Elephas maximus indicus: one gene and its partners. The protein of the gene in region 1 interacts with the protein of each later gene in a biochemical or structural test. Links are inferred from orthologs where the notes say so. Each region holds a gene or a part of one and is shown in the gene's direction. Other genes may lie near its edges.

Evidence for each region.
Region 2: the proteins of RALBP1 (region 1) and RALA form a complex in vitro, tested with the Homo sapiens proteins (3 studies listed by BioGRID). The link is inferred for Elephas maximus indicus from reciprocal best matches to the Homo sapiens genes RALBP1 and RALA.
Region 3: the proteins of RALBP1 (region 1) and SYNJ2BP form a complex in vitro, tested with the Homo sapiens proteins (2 studies listed by BioGRID and IntAct, with this or other methods). The link is inferred for Elephas maximus indicus from reciprocal best matches to the Homo sapiens genes RALBP1 and SYNJ2BP.
Region 4: the proteins of RALBP1 (region 1) and DLG4 interact in a biophysical measurement, tested with the Homo sapiens proteins (2 studies listed by IntAct, with this or other methods). The link is inferred for Elephas maximus indicus from reciprocal best matches to the Homo sapiens genes RALBP1 and DLG4.

The regions. Positions count from the first base shown.
Region 1 is NC_064829.1:13,772,952-13,780,281, reverse strand, and holds the start of RALBP1 (ralA-binding protein 1), read left to right. Parts: upstream 1-4,321; 5' UTR 4,322-4,560; intron 4,561-7,330. UniProt on the Homo sapiens protein: Multifunctional protein that functions as a downstream effector of RALA and RALB. As a GTPase-activating protein/GAP can inactivate CDC42 and RAC1 by stimulating their GTPase activity.
Region 2 is NC_064826.1:101,842,166-101,850,123, forward strand, and holds the start of RALA (ras-related protein Ral-A), read left to right. Parts: upstream 1-4,938; 5' UTR 4,939-5,183; intron 5,184-7,958. UniProt on the Homo sapiens protein: Multifunctional GTPase involved in a variety of cellular processes including gene expression, cell migration, cell proliferation, oncogenic transformation and membrane trafficking.
Region 3 is NC_064828.1:83,064,695-83,071,773, reverse strand, and holds the start of SYNJ2BP (synaptojanin-2-binding protein), read left to right. Parts: upstream 1-4,068; 5' UTR 4,069-4,184; coding exon 4,185-4,248; intron 4,249-7,079. UniProt on the Homo sapiens protein: Regulates endocytosis of activin type 2 receptor kinases through the Ral/RALBP1-dependent pathway and may be involved in suppression of activin-induced signal transduction.
Region 4 is NC_064837.1:13,634,197-13,641,475, forward strand, and holds the start of DLG4 (disks large homolog 4), read left to right. Parts: upstream 1-4,260; 5' UTR 4,261-4,523; coding exon 4,524-4,614; intron 4,615-4,925; coding exon 4,926-5,024; intron 5,025-5,212; coding exon 5,213-5,253; intron 5,254-5,922; exon of another isoform or gene 5,923-6,333; coding exon of another isoform or gene 6,334-6,363; intron 6,364-7,279. Other genes in the region: ACADVL (very long-chain specific acyl-CoA dehydrogenase, mitochondrial), read right to left, coding at 290-394, 720-918, 1,314-1,439, 1,536-1,665, 1,906-2,050, 2,482-2,616, 2,706-2,770, 2,861-2,933 and 3 more. UniProt on the Homo sapiens protein: Postsynaptic scaffolding protein that plays a critical role in synaptogenesis and synaptic plasticity by providing a platform for the postsynaptic clustering of crucial synaptic proteins.

The DNA.
Region 1 (7,330 bases):
TTTAATAACAAATTCTATCATAATAATTTGCACATTTTTCCCTTCTTTTGGACTTCTCTGAAAGTGATTGATAGATTTTTTTGAATGTATTTGATTCACTTATTATGTATTTCTTTTTTTTATTATCGTGCTTTAGGTGGAAGTTTACAGCTCAAGTTAACTTCTCATGCAAATATACACACATTGTTTTGTGACATTGGATGCAATTCCTACAGTGTGACAGCACGCTTCCCTTTCCATCTGGGGTTCCCTGTTTCCATTGATCCAGTTCCTGTCCCTTCCTGTCTTCTTGTCCTGCTTTTGGACAGGATCTGCCCATTTGGTCTTGTGTATTTGATTGAACTAAGAAGCACACTCCTCACATGTATTAATTTTTGTTTTATAGGCCGGTCTAATCTTTATCTGAAAAGTGAGTTTCAAGAATGGTCTCAGTTCTGGGTTAGCAGAGCATCTGGGGGCCATAGTTTCAGGGGTTTTTCCAATCTCTGCCGCACCAGTGAAGTCTGGTCTTTTTACTTGAATGTGAATTCTGTTCTACATTTTTCTCCTGCTGTCTCTGGGGCTCTCTGTTATGATCCCTGACAAGGGAGTTGTTGGTGGTAAGCCGGTACCATCTAGTTCTTCTGATCTCAGGCTGGTTGAGTCTCTGGTTCATGTGGTCTTTCAGTCCTTTGGGCTAATATTGTTCTTGTGTCTTGGGTTTTCTTCATTCTTCTTCGCTCTGGGTGATTTTTTTTTTTTTTCAATACTTTTAAGTGTAGAAATTCCACTTGTTTCTTTTTTATAAACTATTTTTCTACTAAGATTCTCTATTTAAATATCTTTTCCTTTAATTCCTTGAAACATTTCCTTTTATTTTTAAAATAGCTGTTTTGAAGAGATTGTCTTCTAAATCTAATATTTGGGCCCACTCAAAGTCAATTTCTATTGATTTTTTTTTCCCCTGTAAGCGGGTGACACTTTCCTGTTTCTTTGCATGAATTCCTTTCTTTGTTGAAAATGTAATATTTTGTATATTTCGGCAACTCTAGATGCCATTTTATTTTTCTGAGCGTTTTGTTTTTTGCATCTCACCTAGAATTAAACTGCGGATCTGCCTTTCCAATGGGTTGTGATTCTTGTGTTTCTGCTCGGTTTATTGTTTTTAATATTTATTTTTGGTGTAAACATACACAGCAGATCATATATCCATTCAACAATTTCTACAACGGATAGTTCAATAACATTGGTTACATTTTTCATGTTGTAACACTATTCTTGCTATCTGTCCCCGTGTTTTTTCACTACCATTGACTTACACTCACTGCCCCATAGACCACTCATCTTGCTTTAGAGTTACTGTTGTTAATTTGGTCTGACACAGATCAATTCTTTAATCTTTTTTTTTATTCTGATTTTTATCTTTAACCTGGCTTTCTAGAGGTTACCCCATGTCTGCATGGCTGAGTGATCTGTCAATGAGCTGAGCAAAAGTTGTACTCAAACAACTTGAGCTTGTCTTCCTCCTTCTGTCAATTAATCTATGTGTGGATGGAGGAATGCATTCAAAATTACTACCAGTTCCCAAATCCGCCTTGGCTTTCACTTTTTTTTCAGTGGGTCTCTTGGGTTACTACCACACATGTACAGTTTCCCAGTCATTCAGAGATGTGTGGAGAACAGCGCTTCAATGACTCTTATTTCCAGTATCTCCCAGCTATATTTCTGCCTGGTTTGCCATTTACTCTACCTAGAACTGCAACTTTGGGGTAGCAAAGATATGAGTTTTCCCTGTTCATTTGCAACTGAGTTTGCTACCTTTAACTGGTAAAGCCATTTTTTTTTTTTTTTACCTTCTACCACAAATTGAGTCCATCTCCTCTGGCAGCAAAGCTGCTGGTTTTCTTGGGTAGCCTACTCATGCTGGTAGTATTTGTTCTTCTCAATGGAGCTGAGGCAACAATGGAGGATAGGAGCGGCCTTAGGCAAGTAGGCCATAGACTTCCACTGTTCCTATTTGAAGTTCTATCACTTTTTCTAGATGCCTCTAAAGTTGTCATCTATGTTTAGTTGACTTCCAGTGTTCTAAATGGTTGTTTTTGACAATTTTTTCCAGTTTTATACTTGTTTTGTGTACAGAGGAATTGCTGACCTGTCATGCTGTCGTAACTAAAGTCCCTTCCACAGATTCTTTTTATGTAGGTAGTAACCTATATTAGTCATGATCTTTCAGTGTCATAAGAGAAGTCCAACTCAATTAGTTAGGACTTTCAGAATTCTGAGTACAGAAAACCCAATACAGACTGGCTTGAACAATATAGAAAACTTATGGATCACAATTCACAAAAGGTATGATACTGCAGCTCTAATTATGCCATCAAGAACAAGGTTTTTCTTCATCTCCCCAGCACTCAATTAATAGTATTGATGTCATCCTGAGGCTTTACCGGTGCCTTCCTCCACTGGTGCCCTCCTCCGTAAGCCAGCATACCTCCAGGTTCCCCCCTTATAGGAAGAAAACAGTTACCATATTTCCAGACCTCATATACTCACATCATACCAGAAGTGTGAGGAAGCTGCATTTTACTAGAAGCCCAGTACAAGTTTCTGCAGAGCTCACTGGCCGTCTTTAAAACTCAGAGCTCTGCAGAGCTCACAGTTGCAAGAGGATATGGATATGCTGCATGGCTTAAATAGGTGAAACAAATGCCTGAGAGTCAACCAACAAATATCTTCTATGCCCACAAAAACTGGCCCTAAATAACGACAAATAAATGAATATACTGGCTCACCCAGCTAGACTCACATGCTCACAACCACTTAAGGATCAGCCTCTGAGACTGAAACTACAGTCATTATGCGGCCAGCTCTGCTTTCTCTCCTCTTCATTTCTCCTTTCTTTTCTGTTTCCGTCCTTTGGCCTCTTTTATTCTTACTGCAGACAGGCCTCTTTATGTTGCAGGGCATATGGCCATGAGCAAAACCTCAGCAGAACGCTTTTTTTTTCCCGTTCTCTGTCCATATAGCAATTTCAGGCAAGGGCTCCATAATGCCCAGCTTGGGTCAGTGCCTATCCTTTGGCCCAATGCATGTTGCCAAAGGCAAAGAGTATTATTGCAATTGGCACCATTGCATGCCCATCCCAGTGGTTAGAACAGATTGTTCTATTGCCAGAAGGGGCAATGAGAAAGCTTTTACACAGTCAGAAAAACAATGGCTACCCCATACCGTCTCAGTTCTAATTGTGGGAGACCTTTTGCTTGCCAGCCAGCACTTAACTACTGTGCCACCAGGCCTGAACTTTACTGGGTAGGAAATGCAGAGCGCAGGAGACAAATTTATCAGATTTTAGAAAAACTGCAGGATGGATTGCAGCGGTCATGTGGGGATGGAAGTGATTGTGAAGGACTATCTACCCCAAATCCTCTCTCTTCCCTAATAAACAGCCAAATTTTATAAAACAAGAACACTTCCAACAAACCAACCAACCCGGGTTTCCAGCCTTCAAGGAGCATCAGCAGAACAATTCTTTAAGCCTTGGAAGGACTTTCCTTAGCCCTCACTTCTGGAGTAATCCAGTTACTTCCACTCTTCCTCATGATTCAGTTGTTTGCGCGCTGAACATGTGTCTGGGCATTTCTAACTCAAGTATTGCTTTGTAAATGTGCCAAAGAGGGTGGTAGAAGACAGCAATTCCGCAGCCGGCCAAGAACCAAGGGCTGATCCTGTCAACACTCATTTCAGGAATTCCGCGGACGGTCCTTCCGTGGAAGTTTTACACCAGCCTTTTTTCCCCCACTGGCCCTCGCCGCTTCCTTTTTCCAAGGCCCTCAAGCAAGAGTTCCCACCGCAATAAAAGGTTCCGCACCCAGTCGGAAGCCAGGAAGACGCCCCACCCAGCGGCAGGCTGGGCCGGCCTCCCAGGCTCGTCTAACTGGTTAGGACGACTAAAGCAAGCCGGCACAAGATTGGAGCTTCGGTAGCTGAGGACACAGGCTGGTCAGAGCGTGGAGAGGAAAGCTATTTCCTTTCTCAAGACCATCACAAGAGCTGTCCCAAACGATCTTGGCTAATACGTTTATGGGGTAGGTGTTCGTCCCACCCAGTCCCCCAAGACCAGAACTGCGCAGGCGCCTGCACAATCCTAGCGCGGCGCGCACTCTCGCGCGCTCCCTCTGTCCCCGGAGCGAGCGCCTGGGCCGGAGGAAGCGCGGAGCTTCCTGGGTGTTGTAGTGTGCTCCTTCTACGAGCGGCCCCGTGAAGGCCCAGAGTGGGGCGTACGAGAACTACTTCTCCCGGCGTGCCTCGCGCGAGGGCACGGGGCGTTTGCCCTTGACGGCCTAAGCAGTCAGTCTACGGGCGACAGGAACCCGGGAAGCTGGCAGCGGCGGGAGGACTGAATGCGCGTGCGCATTGAGCCGGCTCGTCCTGTTTCGTCCCAGTCATTGTAAACAGGCGGAGGCTGGGCGGGGTGGGAATGGGGCTCCTGAGGCCGACCGGGGGCGCCGCGCAGGAGGCGGCTACGGTGGCTGCGACGGCAGCGTGAGCGCGGGGAGGCGGCGGCTGCGGCAGCAGGCACAGGTCAGTCGCGTGGAGTGGTGGTGTGCCGGATCGCCACGATGCCCCTCGCCTGCCCGAGGACCCGTCTCCGGCGCCGGCCTCGCACCGAGTCTGTCAGGCAGCGTGCTGGGCTCGGCGCTCGCCGCACTCCGTTTTGGAGTTGGGGGTTGGGGGGCGTGGCTGCCCTAATATTGATTCATACTGGGCAAGGTTCGTCCCCATTTCTTGCTGGCTTGGTAACCGTCCCCCCAACTTGCGGGGCGGGCCTACCCTAACGGCATCTGCATTTGTGATTTGGTGCTCCCGGGGTCTGTAGAAGAGTTAGGAACCAAGGACCCCCCTGATTCTCCAGGCCCCAGGAGAGCTCTTTAAGGCACACCTGAACGGAGGAGAGAGGACTCAGCCTTTTATATTATCATTAGTTTTTAGTCTTTTCCGAAATATTGACCTGTCTCCAGTGCATGCTGAGGGGACTAGAAAAAGGTTCTTAGTTTTTCCCAGCGCTGGCATTGAAGCACTGGGGGTCCGTTGGGGACTTTGGTCCTTAGTTTGGGTTTTACTGGGAAAGGACTGGCAGCTCTAGCGTTGAGGATGCTTTTCACAACTGTTCTTCAAATATGTTTTTCAAATATGCTTGTGCCAAAATGCTCTTAATTGAGGTCAGCTTTTTTTTTTTTTTTTTTTTATCCTGTAGTCTTGCGAGCGAAACAGGTTTTATAAAATATTGCACACCTCAGGCTTACCTGAGGTAATTAAGCTGTTTCAAGCTTTGGGATTCACTACTGCAGAGTAGCCCTCTTGAGCAAGCAGCATGTGTCCTCTAAGGCCTAGTAGAGTTCTTGAATATTGTTAAATTTCCAGTTGGAGTTATTTTGAAGGTATGTAAAAGAAGTACTGCAGTAGGTGCATTGACTTCAGTACCGATAAGAAAAGCTTTCACTAAACTTTTTGTTCAGTGGAGTGGGCGTGTTCTAATGGTGCAATACTTTGGATTGCATTCCATCATACTCGAGCAGTTATTCGCAAAGTATTTAAGTGGCGATAAGGAATAGGCCAGAGTACCTGGGTTGCACAAATGGTTAAGTGCTCAACTGCTACCTGGAAGGTTAGCACTTCAAACCCACCCAAAGGCGCCTCTGAAGACAGGCCTGGTGATCTGCTTCTGAAAGGTCACAGCCTTGAAAACCCTGTGGAGCACAGCTCCACTCTGCACACGTGCAGTCACCATGAGTCGTCATTGACTCCACAGCAGCTACCAACAAGGAATGGTTTGGTGCTCCCCATGGCAGCACATCTGAATGAGTGGGACTGCGAATGGGAAAGGTCACTTCACATTCTCCTTTTAGAATTATCAGGGCGACTTGATAATTCCTTTCTGAGTACCTGCCTGAACAGGAGTAATTAATGTGAGCTATAATAGTATTGGCAGTAGTAGGGGTAGGGAGGAAGTCAGTAGTGTAGTTCCCACTTTTCAGAGTGACCCACAGATCCAAGTCAGATAGGCTTTAGCAGTAGCTGTTGGAAAGTAATTCCTTAAATAATGTGTCTTGAAACAAAGTAACATTATAATTTAATTTGCTATCTCATCAACATGCTGTTTCTCATTATAGATCTTGCAGGGGCCATATCTCTTCTAATTTAGGAAGGTAGATGCGGCATCAGAAATGCACGTTAATTTGTACAGTTGTGTTTGTACAGTTGTTTGTTTAGCGAGGAGAGATTGGGTCCAGAATATAACCTGAAAATATGTTTTCTTTTTTGAAAGAAAATGCCTGGTAGAAGCTTGTGTTAGTATATGCAAGAGGGGACAAGGCGAAATGCACATCATTAGTATAAAGAGGAATTATGTAGCAGGTACTTTGCCAGATGAAGAGTTCTTCAAGATGGATAAGGCAGTGTCCCTGCCTTCAGAGTGATAAGACTCTCTTACTTGAACTGTCAACAAATGTAATACATTTTAAAGATTACATTGATTAGAAAAAGTATAGGGGTCCAGTGGGTGTAAAAGGAAGTAGTGATCAATTTCTGAAAGGCAGAGAAAGGGATTGAGGAAGGAGGGGGTGGTAAGGAAAAACTAGATCTAGTGGGTGATGAAAACAAGTGTAAACCAAAAAAACCAAACCCGTTGCCGTCGAGTCGATTCCGACTCGTAGAGACCCTATAGAACAGAGTAGTACTGCCGCAGAGAGTTTCCACGGAGTGCCTGGTGGATTCAAACTGCCGACCTTTTGGTTAGCAGCCACAGCACTTAACCACTATGTCGCTAGGGTATGTAGGCATAAAAAAGATGGACAATTTGGTGGATGGAACAGTGAGCAAAAGCATGGGAGTCTAAAATTACATGGGGAGTTGTAGGATCTGCAAGTAGTTTGTATAGTTGGCTAGAGTACAGGGTGGTGGCAAGACATGAAACTGGGGAGGTAGGCAGAGACCAGACTATGGATGGTCTCGTATGCCATTGAAGTAATTGCAACTTTATCTTGTAGGCACACAGGAGTCATTGAGAAAGGACAAAGAAGGGACACCTAAACCAGCTGAATCCATTTTTAACTCCCTGCTGAGTCCCTGGGTGGTACAAAGGGTACAAAGTATTCTGCTGCTAACTGAAAGATTCACGGTTTGAATCTACCCAGAGGTACCTCAGAAGAAGGACCTGGCAATCTATTTTGGAAATGTCATAGCCATTGAAAACCCTATGGAGCACAGTTCTACTCTGAAACACATGGGTTGCCATGAATTGGAATTGACTGGACATCAACTGATTTGGTTTTGTTCATGTGTCAGGCACTGT
Region 2 (7,958 bases), on another chromosome or scaffold:
GTCCTTTGGACCTGGGGTCCCTGTGCCTGAGACGCTCCTTGACCAGGGCAAGATTGAGGACAAGGGCCTTCCTTCAGATCCAACATAGAGAGGAAGCCTCCCCCTGAAGCTGACTCCCTAAATTTGAACGTTTAGCCTACTTTACTGTGAGGAAATAAATTTCTCTTTGTTAAAGCCATCCACTTGTGGTATTTCTGTTATGGTAGCACTGGATGACTAAGACAGTAATGATGTAGTTATCCTCCACATGAGCCGATGTGATCAGCCAACTAGTTGTAACGGGAGTCTCCTCATGGTTGTGGCCTGCATCCAATATATATATGGATGTTCTGGCAAAGCTCACTTGCTTGCTCTGGAGCCTGCACCCAGTTCATCATCATCTAACCTCTGGCTCTTGAGACTTGAGCCAGCAACGTGTCCTATTGCCCGCAGCTCTTGGGATTTGTTGGTCTCCAGAGCCTGTGATCCAGCAGCCTGCTATCTTACCTGCCAGTCTTGGATTCGTCAGCCTCTGTAGCCTGTGAGCTAGTGGCCTGCCATCTGCCCTGCCATCTGCCCTGCCAATCTTGGGTTCATCAGCCCCTGCAGCTACATGAGCCAGGAAAAGCCTCCCGCCTGACACCTGATCCAAGAACTTGGGACTTGCCAGCCTCTACAGCCACATGAGCTGTTTCCTTGAGATAAATCCCTCTCTTTACACATGAATATATACACTTTGAAAAAACCAAACCTGTTGCCGTTGAGTTGGCTCTGACTCATTGTGACCCTATAGTACAGAGTAAAACTGTCCTGTAAGGTTTCCAAGGAGCAGCTGGTGGATTTGAAACTGATGACCTTTTGGTTAGCAGCCGAGCTCTTAACCACTGTGCCACCAGGGCTCCAGAGGAACTTGGTAAGACCAGTGAATTCCATTAGCATGTGCCCACTGCTGCACTTCATTTGCTGTGAATACACCTATGAGGCTTTTTTTTTAAAGTTATTACATTGAAAGTGGAAGCCCTGGTGGCGTAGTAGTTAAGAGCTATGGCTGCTAACGAAAAGGTCAGCAGTTCAAATCTACCAGGCACTCCTTGGAAACCCTATGGGGCAGTTCTACTCTATCCTATAGGGTTGCTGTGAGTTGGAATCTACTCAACAGCAATGGTTTTATATATATCCATATCTATGTAAAGTTAATGTACACTCATATTTTTTATAAATTAGTATATAAGCATGTGCATAAAAATATATACACTATATAACCATAAATATATTTAAATGGATTTATATACGCATAAAACCAAAATCAAATCTGTTCCCATGGAGTCAATTCCGACTCATGGTGACCTCATGTGTTACTGAGTAGAACTGTACTCAACAGGGGTGTCTTGGCTGAAATCTTTATGGAAGCAGATCGCCAGGCCTTTCTTCTGTGGTGCAGCTGGGTGGTTAGTAGTCAAGCACAAACCAATTTCATATGCATAACCTTTCAAAAAAGAATGAAACTATCAAAGTAATGAGAAAAATTTCATTTACCTTCGGAATAAACATTGGACAAACTTCACAGTTTTTCCAACTAAACAGTGATGGGCACGACAGATGATTCACAAGAAAACATGTAACTGAATGTAAATTCTGTGTGGTTCTACAGGGATACGAGTAATGACAAAATCATACCTGCCTTGTACTTCCCCCAAAGTAGACAGTAGCTATAATTAGCAGTGAGCTTACATCACTAAAATGTCTTTTTACTCTTTTACTAACATACCATAATTGTTTATACACAAGGCATGATAAAAATAGAAATTAAACCCATGAGTCAAATTTAAAATATGCTTTTTTATATACATATATGTATATATATATATATATAAAAGCATATTTTAAAGCAGAATCCTTCATGTTCTCCGAGGTGTCCACATAGCAAATTTAGAAATGCCTATGAGTTCTGCTGGATATTAGTGCTATTATTAATAATATGTGCTTACAATTATAACCTTTCATCCAAGTACCTCAAAGAGCTTTTAAAGCATTAATTTGTTATTTCTTTTAATACCTCTGAGGGGCCAGCTAGTAGAAAGTTATTATTATCTCTGTTTTACAGCCAGAGAATCTAGGGCATAGAGAGGTTAAGTGACTTTGCTAGGGTTATATAGTGATTAAGTAACGAAAAAGAGACTGTGAGTTAATTCTTCTCGTTTACAGTTTAATACATTACCCATTACATGGTCATTTAATACACTTAAATATATTTCTATTCTAGGAAAAATTAGAATAATATATTTGAATAATCAACAACTAAAAGTTGATGAAAGAGTTCCTCATTTTTGTGTCAAAAAATGTTGCTATACAGGGGTATAAAGTAAAAACTAATAAGTAGTCTTTGGTTTGCCACCTTACAGGCCTTTTGCTATTTGTGGCTTTCTGAAGCTTCTGCTCAAAAAGAACCATTCTATTTCATACTGCTTTATGCTAGGTTAGCATAGCTGTGAACAGCCGAGGAGCAGCTGAGACAGGCTGACTAATGAATCTGAAGTTGCCTTTCATTGTGTTCCCATTGCTCACTCTTCTTGAACTCATCCTCCTCTAGTTTTCCACTCAAATTATCTGTATAACTCACTATTCTCAATCCTTGGCCCATAGCCAGTCTAACTAAATTATCTCACCGATGAAATAAACCAATTTTTATTATTAAAATATCAACAGAGATAATACTTCATTGTATGAGTTTACTACGTTATACCAGTTACCAATGTCATATTCAGTTTCTGGTAATACTGACCTTTACAGTCCTTTGAAGACAATCAAGTATCTGACTCTTGGCCTACAGACAGCACATACCATCCCTTGGGAATTTTTTTTTTTTCTTAATGATACATTGTTGTGTTTTCAGTGAAGGTTTACACAGCAGTTTAGGTTCCCATTCAACAGCTTCTGTACAAGTTGTTCAGTGACATTCTTTACAATACGTGGACATTCTCATTACTTTTGTCCTGGCTGTTCCATTTCCAGTAATCTAGTTTCCCTACCCCCTTACATTCTCATCTTTGTTTTAAAATAATTGTTGACCGTTTGGGCTCATATAGGTGACTTTTTAAAGGAGCACAGTACTGATGGGTGATATTATTTTTGAGCCAATTCATTATATAGCTACAAGGTTACTTCAGGAGTTAGTTTCAGAGTATCTCAGGGCAGCATTCCTGGGGAGTCCTCCATTCTCAACCAGTCCAGTTGATCCGATTGTTTTTTTGTAAATGAATTTGAGGTTCTTCTGTTTCACATTTTTCCCCCATTCTATCAGGGTCCACCTATTGTGGCTCCGATTAGAACTGTCAGTAACGGTTACTGGGCATAATCCAGTTCTTCTGGTGGAAACTTTTTTTTTTTTTTTAATGTAATATTTCAGCAATTTTCCCAAGTTAAGGTAGAGAGAAAAAAATGGTTTTGAAACCGTGTTCAAGGACGTGAGATGCATGATCTGCTTTGACGTGGTAACAGTAGCCCAGATCCTCCCTAGAACTCTAGGCCCATAGAGCAACTGCCATAGTATAGCACCACGGATACTTCAAACTCACCACCTCCAAAACTAAACTCATTTTTCTGCTCCCTCCACCTTCCTCCCCACCTTCACCCCCCCCCCCCAATTAATCTGTCCTCCACCAACAGGATAGCTTAAATCCTAAATCTGTTCAGAGGCATTCCTCTACTTGAATCCTTTAGGAGTTCCTCACTGCTTAACCATGGCATGAAAGTTCATTCTTGGTTTCTGTCTGCTTCTCCAGTTTCATCTTCTTCAGCAACTCAGGCTTGAACTTTAAATCCTGTAAATACTCCTCATTCCTCTCGGCACACATTATTTCTTGTCTCTGTACCTGTGTACATGCTGCAAGTTCTTTCTATTCCAATTCCGATTTGCCATTCCATCCCCTATTTTTGTGCCTGAAAAATTCCTATTTATCTTTCAAACTCTAAGCCAAAGTCAGTAAACTCATCCATTCCTTCCTCTGTATACCTTGATATCCGTGCTTCCAATCATAATTATTTGCTTTCATATCTGTCCGCCCACTAGGCTGGGCTGGGCATTCCTTGAGAGCAAAGATTAAGTCATGCCCTGCACATAGCTGGTACCCGTAACTTTTTTGGGGGTGGGGGGGAGAGGAGAGATAAGAGAATGAACGTCGCGAGATAACAATGTGTAGCTCCCAACAGATGTTATGCAAACAGATCTATTTAGCATCTGTGGTGGAATTTAAAAAGGAACCGCTTCTAACTTCAGTTCCCAAATCAAAGTGCCGTGGGGCTGCAGGCTGATCTCAGTGCCACACCAAGCTCCAGACCGCTGTGTCCAGGAGGGTCCCTGAGCCACTCAGAAAGGGCTCCCTGGCCACCTGCGGAGGCGAGTTCTTCAAGGGTCAGCAGTTAAGCATGAGGCCCGCAGCAGCCAACGGGACCCCCCAACCCGGGCAAGCGACTGACCCAACCCACCTCTTAGGGTTCGGCCCGCATCCAGCCACGTTGCCGGCTGCACTCTAGGAAACCCTGGCCACAGGACCCGGGTGGTCTCCACCCTAATACGACTCGGGAGAAGGGGCTGCCCCAGTAAAAGCAAGATGGCGGACTCAGCTCTCCCCTCCTTCCCCCAAGAACCCCCTCCTGGTCCCCAGGAAAGAGACGAGGCAAGGACGTCGCGGCGCCGACGCCCAGATCCGGGAATCTCCGCGAGCCTGGCGGCCACGCCCGGGCCCCCGGGAGGTGATTTCACCTCGCGGGACGCAGAGCCGAGGTGCGGCCGCCCGAAACGCGGCGCAGACAGGTCTAGGGACCCAGGGGGCGGGTCCCCGCTAGCCCTCACTATCCCGACCATTGTTCTTCAGCCCTGGCCGGTGTCCGCCCTACTCGCCGCTCGCGGACGGGAAGTTACTCCCCGGCCGGCCCCGCCCGCTTTCCGGCGCCCCGGAAGTGATCTGCGGCGGCTGCTGCAGAGCGGCCAGGAGGAGGGTGGATCTCCCGAGAGCTGAGCGCCGGGAATCCTCCTCCTCTTTTTCCTCCCGCCGCCCAGGATCCGCCGCCGCCCGTCTGACTCCTCTTCAGCCGCTCCCCGGCGCGGTGCCTTTCTGAGGACAAGGGCGAAGCACTCTCCGGCCGGAGTCAGTGCAGCCGCGGCTTCCGAAGCCCGTGGGGCGGCGGACCGGCTCGCGGTGCAGGTGAGTGATGCCCGCCTTGGGCGCCCCGGGAGCGGCTTGGGCCGACAGAACGGCGGCGGGGGTGTGTCCGGGCGGCGGCGGGCCGAGGCCCAGGCGCAGGGCCCGGCTGCCGAGATTGCACATCCCGCGTTCTGCCTGGGGGACGAGCCCGGGCTGGAATCCCGGGCGCCGCGTTCGCGGCTGTGCGGGCGATTGCGCCCCCGAGAGCTGGCGGCTGCGGCGAGGTCCCCCGCGCCCGGTAGCACGTCCGAGTTAGTCTCGCCGGAAGGTCACCCCGCATCTCTGGGCCGTCCCCGCTCCGCCACGCCGAGGTCCCCGGGCGGTGCCGGTGAACTGGGGGGACCCTCCGCCGCAGTCCCCGCGCCTTCCTCCACCCCCTCCCTTCCCTTTCTTTCCACTCCTTTGCGAAAGCGGTTGCTTTTTAAGCATCTCTGCCGGTGTTTTGTGCCAGTTAAAGGAATGGCTTTTTCAGCCTGAAGTTATTAGACGCTCCGCACTGAACTGAATAGCAGATCCTGAGCTCTTGCACAGGTTTAACCCGTATTCGGGTAATCTAAGCTATGAAACGAGGAAGCAGAGAGTGTAGATATTTTCGGTTGTAGAGATTTATTCTCCGTTCGTTCTTAAAGGATTTCCAGATGTGGAAGACGTGAACTGTATGCTTTAGCCAGGGTACATGTGTGTAAGTGGGCAGGGATGACGGCGCAGAGGTGGCAGTGTTGTTTTAAGATTTAGGGAGAATTAGGGAGTTAACTGGCCTTTGCTGGGAAACCTGAATGTCCAGACTTGTGAGAGCTCATCCAAGTGTCATTGAGATAGTGTGAGAGCTCCAGTGCCACACCCTACTTGTCGAGCTGAAAAGCACCTAATTTACAAATTATATTTGGTGTGGGAGGGAAAAACTTCTCTAGGGAAATGCTTTTTTTTTTTTTTTTTTAATTTTCTGTGATGCAAAGGCTTTCTAGTTTTTTTTTAGTTTCTTTCTCTCCTCCTTTAAAAACTGAGTTTGTATGTTACACTTAAAAGCAAACCATCCTTTGAAGAGAGTTGCATTAATGTATAAGAACAAATTTGGCGTTCTTCTTAACAGAACGTGTCATAAGTTAATCTTTTGCTAAAAGCAAATTACAACTTGAATCATGTTCCAAAAATCGATAATGAATCTCAGTAAACTCACAGTAGAAGGCATTCCTTTTGCCTTATGCTTATTAAAGTATTTAAATATATTTTATTAGCTTATATTTTTCTGACACTACTAATACAGAATTGTTATAAAATAACTTTTGCGACTCTTAAAACATTATTTTTGGACCTTCAGTTTCTTCAAGACAGAAGCCATGTCTTATTGCTGTGTGTCCATGTGGTGTGCCTAGAACTTAGAAGCTACTCATACATTTCTTTACTGAATGAATGAATGAATGAGTAGGTGGTCTCACAGTGGCTTTCCAGGAGTCATTTATTTTTGTTTGGTTAGATTTTTTTTGTTATTGTTCCAATTTCTTGTACATAAGACTTTGCTTTTCTTTTTGTTCTTCAGCAGGGTCAAAGAACAATTCAAGAAGACTCTCTTGTCTGCTAAAACTTTATCTATCCTTCTCTGAAAGGTTAAAATTATATTTGGGAGATTATGAGGGGATGTTATAATAAAATTTATATTCCAGTGTTAAATGCTTACTACTTGAGGATGTTTGTCCGGGGTTATCAGGAAAGAGATTTATATAACTTCTTGTTTTGAGTTGATAACCATACCCTATCTTAAAGAGGAAATTGGGAGTTACCACTGCTTGGAAAACATGATGTATCACAGAATTGCTTAGAGTGGCTGGTTCTTCCTGTGGATGCATGAAATCTTCTGACATTCTAATATGACCTTGGCATAGTTTATGAATAGCTACATTGACTTTTCTTTTCAGAGATCCATATGCCGTTCCATAGTGTATCTGCTTAGCATGCGTCATCTATATCACTTGTTTGAAATAGTTTTTCAGTGTAGCACTTTATTCTGATGGTTTATTACGGGAGTTTTAATGGGTTATTATGGGAGAGAATTTTGCTTACTATTTGTGAGAGAAGATTTTTGTCTGTAGACGGTTGGATTTTAAAAACTGCTGATGTCTTCTTTCCTCCAACTATCTGGTGGTGATCCTGTACTGGTTTTCCAAGTTCAGCTTCCACAAAACATAAATAAACCAGTTTATCTCTTCTTGTAAATGTGTATATTCGCATAATATGCACTTATATTCCTGAGTTGGTATGTGGCAAGGATAATCACTTTTAAAATACTGGAATAAGAGGCTGTGAATGTTAATGAGGAAAAGGATTATGATTTTGAAAAAGAAGGGAAGTAGTTTATGCTTGTTTTATAAAATTCTTAGACACTAAGGAGACACTGAAAACCCTGGTGACATAGTGGTTAAGTGCTGTGGCTGCTAATCAAAAGGTCAGCAGTTCGAATCTACCAGGTGCTCCTTGGAAACTCCATGGGGTAGTTCTACTCTGTCTTAAAGGGTCGCTATAGTCAGAATCCACGTGACAGTAATGGTTTTTTGTTTTTTTTTTTTAATTTAAGGAAACAGTGCAATTCTTTTATCTCAGCAACATAACCACTGTACACAGGTCAGATTTCCCTTTAATTCAACAACTCTCCTAGTAATAATAGTTCTCATATGTTGATTGCCTACCTGGATTCGCAAGTATGAGCACGGATATTGCAGTTAATCCTGGAATGCTGAGGAAACGGTGATTCTGATTGAGCCAAGATACTGATCTCGGCAC
Region 3 (7,079 bases), on another chromosome or scaffold:
CCCAAGCTATGGGGAAACGGGGCTTTTATGTGATGTGGGCAGCAAGATGGTGGACGCACAGGTGTACTGGAGAGGGAAATTCTAAAAGGTAGCCAGGAAATAGGAGGTGATATGGTTATTCATTCCACCTGTTGCTGCATCCTCCACCGAGGTCAATTATCCATCACCGCTGGCTCTTCTGCACGTGCGGGGCAGGCCAAATTTGGCTCGGGCTAGTTTAAGGATAGGCATTCACAAGGTCGGGTTACACCACTTCACACCTACCAGACTAGCAAAAATTAGAAAGACCAATAACCCAATTATTAGTGAGGATGTGAGCAGTGGGAACTCTCAGATAGTGAGTATGTAAATAGGTACGATCATCTTGGAAAGCGTTTGGTATTATACGCTAGTGTCTGAACTTGTCTAAATCCATGAGTGATAACCAGGATCAGCACAAAGGAGATTCCTATGAGGTAGAGGTCAGACATACCTCTACTCTCCAATTTTTTCACCATTTCTTACGCCAGCCATTCTCCCCACAGCACTCATAGACTCATAGTGGCCCTAAAGGGCAGAGTATAACTGCCCCATATGGTTTCCAAGGAGTGCCTGGTGGATTTGAACTGCTGACCTTTTTGGTTAGCCGCCGTAGTTCTTAACCACTATGCCACCAGGTTTTCCACCCTTACTCCCAGGCAAGGCTTATTTCTTCCTACTTTGGTCTGTTCTGCATTTTTGCTTTTTGCCTTTATTACTGTAGGTATCATACCATGTGTGTCCCAGTTATCTAATGCTGCTATAACAGAAATACCACAAGTGGATTGCTTTAACAAAGAGAAATTTATTTTCTCACAGTTTATGAGGCTTGAAGTCCAAATCTAGGTACTGGCTCTAGGGAAAGGCTTTCTGTCAGCTCTGGAGGAAGGTCCTTGTCTCTTCAGCTTCTGTTTCCTGGTTCCTTGGTGATCTTCATATGGCTTGGCATCTATCTTCCCCCATCTTTGCTTGCTTACTCTGCTTCTTTTACACTTTGTAAAAGAGTGAGTCAAGATACGCCATACACTAATCCTGCCTTATTAACATAACAAAGACAACCCATTCCCAAATGTCATAATAACCACAGGCATAAAAACCAAACCCACTGCCTTTGCATGGATTCTAACTCATACAGACCCTATGGGACTGCCCATAGGGTTTTCAAGGAGTGGATACCAAAAAAATTAAACCCGTTGCCGTTGAGTCGATTCCAACTCATAGTGGCCCTACAGGACAGAGTAGAACTGCCCCATGGGGTTTCCAAGGAGTGCCTGGTGGATTCCAACGGCCAACCTTTTGGTTAGCAGCCGTAGCACTTAACACTACGCCACCAGCATTTCCAAGGAGCGGGTGGTAGCCCAGAATATATGATCTTGTATTTCACCTCCATCTCCATCCAGCTGTTTGAACAAGTAACATGTTGTTGTTGGTTGCCTTGCTGAATCAGTTCCAACTCATAGTGATCAGATCTTCTAGAATCACCTCCTGTGTTCTTTTCACCATTCCATATTAATTTCAGTGTTGGCAAACAAGGGGCCTTCTGGCTACATCTGCCCCTTGTCTTGTTTTGTTCGTTTAACACAGTAGCTTTAGTTGAGCTTGTTTTTCAATCTGAATTTGAATGCCTTTATATTGGACGTCCACTTTCCAATCCTCCAGGGTTCCTACCAATTCCTGTTGTCTAATTCCAGGTTAGGCGCCCTGGTGGTGCAGTGGTTAATTGCTTGGCTGCTACCCAAAGGTCACTGGTTGGAACCAACCATAGGATCCACAGTAGAAAAGACCTATTTCCTCCTGTAAAGATCACAGCCTAGAACACCCCATGGGGCAGTCCTACTGTGTCATAGAGGGCCGCTAGGAGTAGGAATTGACCCGGCACACAACAGCAACAATTCCAGGTTGTTTCACAGTTTAAAGTCACCTTCCTGGCCCTTAAGGCTTTTGAGTTTTGACCCCTCTCCATTAAGCACACTTTGGAATGTCCTATCCCCCAAATCAGGAGGGCTGGGCTGAAGTTACAGCTAGGTCATCTACCAGTCACACTGTAATGGTAAACTTAAAAAAAAGATGTAATTTTCCAAGTTGCCGAAAGGGAAAGACAACTTTCCCCTCTCTCTTTCTTAAGGACAACTCTTTGAAATGTAAACATCGAGGAATGTAATGCCCTACCTCCCCTCAGGTGGGAATTAGCCTAGGTGCCCTATCCCAAACTGTAAGTACCGCTTGCCATACAGATATTGTTAGGTGTTCTTGAGTCTGTTCGGACTCATAGTGACCCTATGTACAAGAGAACAAAACATTGCCTGGTTGTGAGCCCTCCTCATGATCGTTGTTATGCTCGAGCCCATTGTTGCAGCCACTGTGTCAACCACTTAGTCGAAGGTCTTCTTCCTCTTTTCCACTGACCCTCTACTTTACCAAGCATGATGTCTTTCTCTCGGGACTGATCCCTCCTGATAACATGTCCAAAGCATGTGAGATGATGCCTCACCATCCTCACTTCTAAGGAGCATTCTGTCTGTACTTCTTCCCAAACAGATTTGTTCTGTTGGAAGCCCAAGGTATATTTGATATTCTCCACCAACATCATAATTAAAAGGCGTCAATTCTTCTTCAGTCTTCCTTGTTCATTGTCCAGCTTTCGCATGCATATGAGGTGACTGAAAACAATCACCCTGTTTTCAGGCACACTTCAGTCTTTGAGGTGACATCTTTGTTTTTTAACACTTTAATGATGTTTTTTGCAGTAGATTTGTCCAATGCAATGAGTTGTCTGATTTCACTGCTGCTTCCATGGGTGTTGATTGTGGATCCAGGTAAAATGAAGTCTTTGACAACTTCAATCTTTTCTCCATTTATTATGATGTTGCTTATTGCTCCAGTTGTAAGAATTTTTGTTTTCCTTATGTTGAGGTGTAATCCATATTGAAGACTGTGGTCTTCGATCTTCATCAGTAAGTGCTTCAAGTCCTCTTCACTTTCAGCAAGGAAGATTGTGTCATCTGCATAACGCAGGTTGTTAATGAGTCTTCCTCCAATCCTGAGACCCCATCTTCTTCATATAGTCCAGATTCTTGGATTATTTGCTCAGAATAAAGAATGACTAAATATGAGGAAAGGATATAACCCTGACACACACCTTTCCTTACTTTAAACTACGCAGTATCCTCTTGTTCTGTTCGAACAACTGCCTCTTGATCTATGCACAGGTTCCTCATGAGCACAATTAAGTGTTCTGGAATTCCCATTCTTTGCAATGTTATCCATAATTTGTTATGATCCACACAGTCGAATGCCTTTGCAGGGTCGATAAAACACAGGTAAACATCTTTCTGGTATTCTCCGTTTTCTGCCAGGATCCATCTGAAATCAGCAATGATATCCCTGGTTCCATGACCTCTTCTGATGTGGCTTGAATTTCTGGCAGATCCCTGTTGATGAACTGCTGTAACCGCTTTTGAATGATCTTCAGCAAAACTTCACTTGTGTATGATATTGTTTTATTGTCATACAGATAGAGAAGTTTTATTTTTCCTTTGGATAAGGACAATTAACTAACACAAACGGCCACTCCAAGTGTGAACTACTAAAGAATGTATAACAACTGGTGCTGTCAGGTCCTCTTACATGAGAACACGCATGTAATGGATGGTATCTGCTTGGCTATGAAAAAGGGTGAGATTTCTTTCTGTCTTTGCAATCTCAATAGCAGGGCCTGTGATGCCCATTGCAGGCTGATTTAATGTTTACTGAACAATAAAGTTCTTTTTTTCCCCCTACATTTGAGGAGAGGACTTCCGGGGTATGCAGGAGATTTTATTTTTAATTTTTCCTCAACAATATCAATTTACTAATGCCTCCTACCTTTTTTTTTTTCCTACCTTTATTTAGTCTGCCTCCCCCACGCTTTCAACCAGTTAATTAGGATCGTAATGTGCTCTCCCCTCACCCCACATTTTGCTGCAAGGACCAGGTGAGAAAACGGAACATGTCGGCTGCGGGAACCACGACTCCCAGCATTCCTAGCGCTCCTAGCTCTCGCGGTATCCGCTTCCGATCTGGAGGCTGCTGAAACCGAAAGTGCTGGGCTAAGGAATTGAGATTGATTCACCTTCATCTGAGTAGTTTTAGCCCACCCAGGTGGGAAGCCTGGAGAGCACTAAAACATGAACGGAAGAGTGGATTATTTGGTCACTGAGGAAGAGATCAATCTTACCAGAGGACCCTCAGGTATGTGCTAAACGGCTCCTCCCTGGTAGTAGGGGACATGAAGGTGTGATTGCAGAGCAGACAGTTCTGTCAAGCCAGATTCACTTAGCCTCGGAGCAGGCAGGCCCCAACCTTGACTTTTCCTGCAACTCTTGCAGGCACGTAGGAGGAACGTATTGACACCCGTTGTTGGCCAGACACGGGACTGAGACATCCAGCTCATCTGTCAGAGGCATTATCATACCTATTTATAGTCAGGAAAAGTTTCTTTCTGCTAATAGTGGCAGAAAAACAGAGAAAAAAAGCACACCCCGTTTTTAGCCGACATACCGTGGACACCACGCCCCTTTCCAATCCAGCATCTACCCCTGTTTCTATGACCGACCGTTTAGTAAAACGGGGGAGCGTGATCGGTATGGACTTCGAATGCGTAGTCATTTTCCTGGTGTTAGGCTCCTTCCTTATTTTCTTTTCTGTGTAATTCATTTTGGGTGTTAACGAGTATGTTAAACAGGAAGAGACTCTAGAGATCTTCTATTACAGCATGTCCCAAATCTGATTCCGCTCAGAATTACCCGGAGTTTTTTGTTTTTGCCGTTTCGTTTTTTTTTTTTTTTAAAGTAAAAATGGTAACTCCTATGCCCAAGTTCTAGCGATTTGGATTCATTGCAGACTTTTTTTTTTTTTTTTTTTTTAAAAAGCCTCACATGATTCTGCTGCAGCCAGATCCTCCCTTAACTAAAATAAATGAATTTGTTGACTGACGTCTTCTTGATTTTTCCCAAGCATTTTCATGTCTTTGTCATGTAAGTTAATGAACTTAAGAGCCTAGGACAATAGAGCCACAAACCTAGGATTGAACTTAGATAAAGAAGAGTCATTTGAAGTTTACTTAGGTTTTTTTTTTTTTTTTTTTAGTTTGGTTCAGTTAATTAGGAAGGGTTTCAAGTTCCTGTTTATCACTTCCCAGCACTGGTTACTTGGCATATGGGTACTCCTAAGAAGCCTAAGAGTCTAATTCAGTTTTTCTTCACTGTGTCATCGTGAAGATATGCAAGTGAGAAATCAGTTAGCACTTCTAGAAACTCCCAGGTAATTTTGGTAGTCGCACAGTGATCTTTCTTTCTATAGAAGAAATATGAAAAGCTTCTACTTCCAAATAGGCATTTCTGTTTGTAGGCAGCATTGTCACTCTTTGTACAGCTTCCTACGCAGGGACCTGATGGTTTAATCAGGTAACTGCAAGAGCGTGTATACCTTTGCCCTTTTGTTCCTGTGTTCGGTTAGGGGCAAGAGTTTGGGGTAGTTGCAGGATTTGGGTTCATATTTTGGGGGCATAAGAACCTATTCTGTTTGCCTCAAAGGAAATAATGAAATCTTGGGAAAATAATGACATTGAAGAGAGTGTCTGGGAGGCAAAAAGGAGCTTCGCATGTAGCTTGGCATCTCTCCTATGCCTGCTTCCTAAACTATGAAAGGAGAGACTTGGGCTAGATGACTTCTGAGGTCTCTTCTACCTCCAAGAGTTCGTAATTCTTTGGCCCATTCCACGTGCTGTTTTACGATACCTATCATTTTGGGCTAACTGTGGTTGATCTGAAGAATCCTGAAAGGCAACGGTTGTAATCTCAAATACATTCAGGGGTTGAACAGTTTACCTATTACCTTTTTTAGAACACTGTCTTATCTCCAGCTTGTTTATAGCCTCTGAGGTCCTTGGTCAAGGACTTACCAAAGGTTTAAAGCTAGTAAGTTTCAAGAGCCAGGATTTTTGTGTGTGTGTGTGTGTTTTAGATGAAAGTTTACAGCACAAATTAGTTTTTCATTCAAAAATTTTATGCACAAATTGTTTTGTGACTTTAGTTGCAGTCCCTGCAGTGTGTCAGCACTCTCCCTCTTTCCCTTTCCACACTGGGGTCTCAGAGTCCATTCATCCAGTTTTCTTGTCCCGTCCTGCCTTCTTGTCTTTGCTTTTGGGCAGGTGCTGCCATTTGGTCTTATATACTTGATTGAGCTAGGAAGCACCTTCCTCACATTTGTTATTGTTTGTTTTATAGGCCTGTCTAATCTTTGGCTGAAAGGTGGACTTCGGGAGTCGCTTCAGTTCTGAGTTAGCAGGGTGTCCAGGGGCCGTAGTCTGAGGGGTTCTTCCAGTCACCGTCAGACCAGTAAGTCTGGTCTTTTTTGTGAATTTGAATTTTGTTCTACATTTTTTCATCCTCTGCCTGGGACCCTCTATAGTGATCCCTGTCAGAGTGATCGGTGGTGGTCTAGTTCTTCTAGGCTTAGTCTGATGGAGACTGTGGTTCATGTGGTCAGTTAGTCCTTTGTACCAATATTTTCCTTGTGTATTTGGCTTTCTTCATTTTTTTTTTTTTGCTCCGGATGGAATGGGACCAATAGATGTATCTTAGATGGCTGCTTGCAAGCTTTCAGGACCCTAGATGCTACTCACCAAACTACAATGTAGAACATTTTATTTATGACCTATGTTATACCGGTTGACCTAGATGTCCCCCAAGACCATGGTCCCCAGTCCTCAGCCTCAGTAACTCAGTCCCTTAAGGTTTTTGGATGTGTCTGTGAAACTTCTATGACTTGACCTCGGTCAAGTTGTGCTGACTTCGCCTATATTGTACGTTGTCTTTCCCTTCACCAAAGTTAACACTTGTCTACTATCTAGTTAGTGATATCTCCTCCCTACCCTTCCCTCCCTGGTAACCATCAAAGATTGTTTCCATGGGTAAACCTTTTCTTGAGTTTTTATAATACAATACTTGTCATTTTGTGACTGACTTATTTCACTCAGCATAATGCCCTCCAGATTCATCCATGTTGTGAGCTGCTTCACA
Region 4 (7,279 bases), on another chromosome or scaffold:
ATGTTATGCAAGTCTAAATATTTGGTCCCCTGAGTCAGTTCATCAGGGCTCAGGCATTTGACTTCCTGCAAGAGATCAGGAAGCGTTGGGGTGGGGGTAGCGTTAACTTCTGGGAAGCACCTCGGCAGAATAGCGCGCCTCATGTGCAGAAGCTGAACTGACTATGCCTCTCCGCATCCCCTAGGGCATTGGTGTGAAGCTGGAGACCCACTGCCCCAGGTGCTGCTGGGGGTTGTAGTCTGACCCAGCAGAGAGAAAGGCTCCAGGGAGGAGGGTGAAGGGCTCTCACCTCAGTCACATAATGCAGAATTGCCATGCGGGCCAGCTTCTCCTGAATCATCCCAAAGTTGTGAATTTTCTCCCCAAACTGAGTACGGTTAGTAGCATGATCCACCTGGAAAAGGGCACGTGGGTTACACGGTAGTTCTGCAGTTTCCCAGCAGAGGGGCTGGAGGGAGGGGCTTTGGCCACAGCCAAGGTCAGTCCCCACTGGATGAAAGCCTAAGCTAATAGTTCAGGAGCTGTTTGTGGGGAGGGTTTTGTGGTGGAGGGAGTGCCTGCAAGGGAGTCAGAGGGGACTGTGACTCAGAGTCAGGCTAGCTATAGGGTCGCTATGAGTTAGAATTAACTTGACAGCAACAGGATGGTTGTTGGATGGGGTCCCTATAAGTTGGAGTCGATGGCAACAGTAACAGGAGGGACTCAGGCAGGGTACTCACCACCTTAGCAATGATGCCCTTCATGGTGCCTGCAAGGGCTGCAGCCATGCCAAACCTTCCATTGTTGAGAATGTGCATGGCGACCTTGAAGCCGCCTCCCACCTCACCCAGCACGTTCTCCGATGGCACCCGCACCGCATCAAAGTACACCTCTGCTGTGTTCGAGGCTTTGATGCCCATCTTCTTCTCAGGGGGCCCACTGCGACAGGGCAGAGTAGAGAAGCAGAGTTGTGTTCAACAAGTTGCCAGCAGAGGAGGAAACTGCCCCTTCATGCCTTATGAACCAAGGAGGAACTACAAATCCCAGACTATGAGAGGATACAGGCCACAGTTCCTACGATGCCCAGAGGGCTATAAAGGCTGAGCTATAGAGGCCTGGCTATGTCTTGCTAGTGGGTTGGGCCCACTATTTGCTAGGAGTCCAAGCTTTAAATCGGTTTCATACATATTAGTCCCAACAGGAACATGCTGTCTGCTTTGGCTTTTGTATCCCCCCGCCCCGCCCCGCCCCTGCCAGGGTGACATGTAGCAACCATCTGCCCTGGTGCCCAGTACTGCCCCCTCCTTGGCCCTGCCTCTTCCTCCAACACTCACTGGGTAACACCCCCAAAGCTCTTCTCCACCACAAAAGCTGTGATCTTCTCTTTCGTGGTGCCCGTGGATGCATCTTTAACCGGTGTTTTGGCAAAGACTGTGAAGATTTCTGCCAGGCCCCCATTACTGTAGAAGAATGAGGGGGCAGTCAGGAGGACTGAGAACAGTGGGGCCTGGAATCGGGGAGAGGTGGAGAAAAGGAAGAAATGAGAGGAAAATTGCCTGATCCAAATCTTGCTTCCGTTGAGGGTATAATAACTTCCACAGGGGCTGGGTACAGCTGAGCTTCGGATGGAGGCTGCATCGGACCCGCTGGAGGGCTCCGTTAGACAGAAAGCGGCCATAGTCTCCCCTGTGAAGGGGAGAGAGCACCTTTACCATGGATCCTGATGGGCATCAAAGTCCCCCAACAGCCTGCACCCCTTAACACCTCCAGGAACATTTAGTTCCTTTGCATTTCCCCACCAGCACAGTGAGGCCGCCTGAGACGCTCCCAACCAACATGTCCAGGTGTCTGGTGATCTAAGTGCCAACCAGCCAAATCTGTGCCAAGCCCAGGACACCCCACTCCTTGTCTGTAGGACTGTCTCACCAGATGCCAGTTTGGGGAGGTATTTTTCTTTCTGGGCCTTCGTGCCAAAGAGCAGGATGCCTTTGAAACCGATGCTCTGATGAGCCCCGAGGGTGATGCCCACACCAAGGTCATGCGTGCCCACGATCTCCACCAAGCGGGCATACTGGAGGGAAGCAGGCGGTTGGGCTGTAACTGCCCGAAGACCTCCCCTTGGCAGGAGAGTAGAATGGAGCAGGGCCTGGCCTAGGTCATCCCCACAGTGTGGAAAGAGGGAAGTGGAACCATGGAAAGGGCACAGCAGAGGATATATCTGACCCAGGTATTGGTGGGTGGGCGGCTTCCTACCATTGTCAAGTGGTTGGTCTCCAGCTTAGAGATTCGTTAGGACTTGGGACCCGGGGTGAGGTCCACGGCCCTAGGGAACTGGATGTAATTTGTTTTTGGGGGGTGCCTATACAGTGGGGACAGTCAACATCCCACAGGCCCTAGACAGTTGCTTGGCAGAGACCCAGGGCCCAGAAAAGTGATGAATGCCCTGAAGCTGCCAAGCTGAAGTGGAATGGCATCCCGGGGAATGACAAGGGTACCCCTCACCTGGGTGTTGCAGAGGCCCACGCCACCCAGCTCACTGGGCACTTGCAGACCAAAGGCCCCCAGCTCCTTGAGGCCCTTCAAGGTGGTCTCCTCTACCCGCTCCAAAGCTTCATTCTTGGCAGGATCGTTCACCTCCTGGGACGACAGAAGACCCCACATCCAAGGTCTTTTTATGCCCTACTAGAGACCCAGGCCTCCACTCTCCAACCCCGATCATTCCTCACCTCGAAGAAACGGGACACGGGCCCCACCAGCTCTTTGAGAAACTGAGTCTGCTCCTCATTGAGCACTGCAGGGGGGGAAGAAAGCTGGCGGGGTGAGGCTGCAGACAGGGAAGGCTGCCCTGCCTCCGCCCGGCTTTGATGACTCCTGCCCTTACCAGATGGGTATGGGAACACTTGATTGGTGGTGAGCTGGCCCTTAAACATCCCTGCAGCAAAGGACTTAGATTCCTGGGCAGGGAGAAGGCAGTTCAGGGAGGTGGCTGGGGAGGGGAAGGGTGTCTGCCCCAGCTCAGTTCCTCCCGACTTAGGGGCCACATACCACCTTGGCCTGGCTTTCCTTGGTGGAGGCATCAGAGGAGAGGGAATCTGACTGGTCCACAGCCGTCTAGAGAAAAATGGTTATCGAGGACGTGGACAGGGACTTCGGTGTGCCAAGGAGAGCACGGGGCCCGCTGGGTGCGGAAAAGGGTAGATCCCGCGACCTTTCCCCTAGTTTCATCTACAGGGCACCCTGGCCTGGCCTTTCCCCTATTTTCGGTGCCAGACTGGGTGGCAGGTGACTGGCACGAAGAGGGGGACCCCTGCCGGTGGCAGGGAGGTGGGCCCCCACTCCCACACCCCTCGTCCCAATGCCTCCATCGCTTACCTGAGCAGCCCCACTGACATAAGCTCGCTGGGTCGGACCGGGCCGGGGCTGCCCCAAGAGCGCGCTGGGCCGCGAGCTGTGGGGAGCAGGGGTTCAGTCCCGGTCCAGTCCCCGGGACTGACGTCCCCCGTCCCACCAGATGGACACAGACCTGCCACCCCTGAATCGCAGCAGCTGTCGCCCCACGCTCGAAGCCATCTCAGTCCCCTGCACCTCGGCGCCGCACAGTCCTCAGCTGCCTGGAGCGCCGGCTGACTCCTCGCTTTCGCCCCGCCTCCCAAGGTCCGCCCCACCCCTTGACTTCGTCTCAAAATGCACCGGGAGGCGGACGGGAGGGGTTTCCGGGCCCCAGGGCATGCTGGGGCTGCAGTTCCGCAGCGCCCCCCAGCTCCTGCGGTCTGTTTGACCTGGAGCAGTTCCAAGTATCCGTTGCCTTCCCCAGACTCCTTCTTCCTTTCTGTCTGAGCTAGGGTCTGCTGCTCTGCCCTGCCCTGATGAGATAGGGTGGGAGAGAAGAGGGAGGAACTTAGGCGACTGCATCCAGAGAGATGGAAGGTAGACTGAGGCAGGACTTCCAGGAGGAGTTAGAAGGGAGAGATGAGGAAAGAGTTGTGTAAGATGAACGCCAGAAGCAAGGAGGTTGGCTCTTTAAAGGTCTCTTGTGAAATCTGTCTCTTTCCATCAAAACAAAAGGGAAGAAAATGGCAGGTGAGGGACTGAACTGGAGGTGTGAATGTCCCGAACATATATCCTCCTTAGACCTAGAAGGTGTCACTAACTCTTGAAACACCTAAAACTTCACAGTAGAAAGGACCCTCTGGGCTCACTGCTTCCTGTTTAGGGCCGCTGAGACTTTGTAATCATATCTCTGTCTGTCTGCTCTCTGGCCCTTCCAGAGACCATTGCATCCAGGCTAGACCTCTAGGCAGATACATGTGTCCCAGGCCTGAGAGCAACTGTGGAAGTTCTGGAGTCTTCCTTTCTCCCATGCTTCTCCAGCCCTGGGTCAAGAAGTTCCTGATAATTTATAGCCCTCTTCCCACAATTCCCGCTGGGGACAGGCCCAGGAGGGGAAAGAGCTGGGCTCTGCTTCCTTTCCTTTGTGCTGCGGCAGCCTCCTTTTAGGGAAGACCCTTTTTCCAAGACCCTCAGGAAAGTGTAGCTAAACTATTATGGTTATGGGAAGAGGGAGCCAGGGTGTTGGGGAATTTGCTGTGGTGGTGCCTGGGAACCTGGGGAAAGATGAAACAGCCAGCAGGTCAGGTCAGTTCGGAGATTACCTAACAGCTAAAACTGGGTCAGGAGAAGGCAGCTCAACTCCAATCTGGGGGGATTTGGGAGATTAAAGTGAGAGAAGAGAGATGTCGGAGAGACCAAGAGGTGAAAGACAGGGGTTCTTGTGGGGAGGCCCAGGGGGTGGCCTGGGGGCTGGGACTCTGGGATCCTTCTCCCCAGTCTTTCCTTGGGGTCTGGGGTGAAAGGGCAAAGGGTGGGGGAGATGAGGTGAGTGTTTGGCTCTGTCTCTGGGCTGGTCTCTTCCTTGCCCCAAGCCTCCCTCACTTGCGTTTTACCAGCTCCCAGGTCAGCTCTCTGGCTCCTGGCCCCTCCACTACTGTGGTGGGCACCCCCGCTCCTCACAGTGCTGCACAGTGATCTCTTTCAGGCCTTGCTGGGTGAGTAGCCCCAATATTCTGAGGGACAGAGGTGGAAGGGGCTGAGCATGGACTTCAGGGTTAGTTGGGAGCCCGGTGCAGGTCTTCCCGGCAGTGTTCTCCACCAGCGTTGATGAGCAAGATGATGGCACAGGTGGCCCGAGAATCCCAGAATGGAGGAGAGTAACTCAGTTCTGTTTCTGTCACAGACATCCTGGACTATTATGAGGCCTCCATCTCAGAGAGTCAGGTAAGGAGGTGAGTGGCTGGCTTCTTGAGGGAGTAGGCAGGGCTGAAGGGGTGAGGGAAGTATTGCTCATATTACACTGAAACTTGGGGTCCTGGGTGAGAAAATCCTGAGTCCAGGTCTAGGAGCTTGGGGACACTGAAAATGTACCTGCTCCCATTCTGTAGCCCTTTCTCTCTCTTGCTTCCCTGTTTTCTCTGCCTGCCCCAATTTCAGGCGCTAAAGAGTTCAGGGCATACATAGTTACCTTCCTCCTGGGAACCCTGAGGGCGAACCAGGCCCCCAGGGATTCTCCCCTGCCAGCCCCTCCTTCCCCCTCTACCTCCCACCATGGTCACCCGCCTGTATTTGAACAGTCGTGGGTGCTCCCAGCCAAACTCTAGGTGCTTCCTCCCCTAAGAAATGAAATCCCTCATCTTTGTCTTTGGTAGCTTCCCTGGTGGCTGCCAGGTCTCCTCATTTGCCTCAGGGCCTCTCTGCTTCTGCTTCTAGCTCCTTTCCCATTATCCGGGTTCCTGCCAGCACCGAAGGAGTTAACTCTGTCAAGGCACCCCCCCCCATTCTCGCTCTTCGCTCCCTCCCTCCCTCCCCCTGCTTCCTCTCTCCTCCTCTCTCCCTTTCCCTCCTCGGCTCCACGGCTCCCTCGGCCGCAGCCGCTTCCAACCCCCCCACCCCACTCCCCCGCCACGGCCCCTAGGCCCTGGCTATTAGGCAAGACTCCCCCAATCCCGGGGCTCCCTGAAATCCAGTTCCCCTCCCCCATCCCAGCTCATGCCCCAGCCCCCGAACCCCGGGGCTGCCAGCCCCCGCTGCCCCCGCCCCTCCTGAGAATCGGGGTGTGCTCCCCAAGCCCCTTCCCCTCCACTGGGGACCCCCTTTTAGGGCCCCCTTCCCCTCCCTCCCACGCTCCCCTACCCTTCCCTTCTCCGACCTCCTCTTCCCCCTCTCACCCCTCCCCCCATCCTGGCCCCCCCTGCAAAAGTGGGGTGCGGAGGGGGGAGGGGTGAGAACCCGCGGAGGGGAGGAACGAAACTCCGATGAAGTCAGAGCCCCTTACCCGCCGCCGCGGCCAGGCCCCCCAACATGGACTGTCTCTGTATAGTGACAACCAAGGTAAGCGTGATGGGGGGGGGCTATAAACTGGGGGAGGGTAACGAGTTTGTGGGGAGGGGTTAGATAGGCCTAATCTAGGGGTGGCGGCGCTGGAGTGGGAGCATCTGAAGTAAGATGAATTTCGGGATCATAATTTAGTTTTGGGGTTCATATATCAGAAAAAACTGGGTTTGGCCACAGGTGCTCTCTGGGGTGATCTCTTTGTACCTGTAGAGAAACGGAAAATTTAGGGTGTTGCATGGTTTTGGGAGGATCTGGTGGATTTGGGGGTTCACCATTGATGCTTGCAGGAGACTTATTTAAGGAGAAGCATGGCTCACATGGAGGCTTGTGGATGTTGGAAGGTGGGCTAGGTGTAGGGTGGCCCTCTTGCCTCCTGGGGACAAGCTGGCTTCCAGATGCCTTGTCCAATTTTGGGGGCTCCTGTGCGTGAGGCTAGATTATTGGTTGTGAGTTCCTGACTGGTCTGGGGGTGTCAGCTGGTAGGGAAGGGGTGGGCCTTCAGCCATAGAACAAGATACATTTGGGGATGCACCCTCAATTTGAGGGCACTATTAATTTTTGGATTTGATTATATGAAACGGGAATACCTGGGAGTTGTCAAGAGGACTGGGGCCTGGTAGGGGAATCACCTGAGGGAATGAATGGGAGGTTAGGATTTTGGTTACCCCCATGGGAGGCGGGTTACTGCAGCAGTGGTTGCCAGCTCCTGAGGAGGAAGATGAGAGGTTTGGGGAGAGAGGGGATTTAAGGAGGGAGACCAGGTGGGTGGTCTGAAATCTGGGGTGGCCCAGGCAGGTGCCCAGTATCCCCATCTCCTCCCACATTGCATCTACCTCTGGTCCAGAAAGAGGAAGAGCAGATGGAGGGGAATGTTCCTGCTACCCCTGACGCTTGGGATCAAGATGGGGGAGGA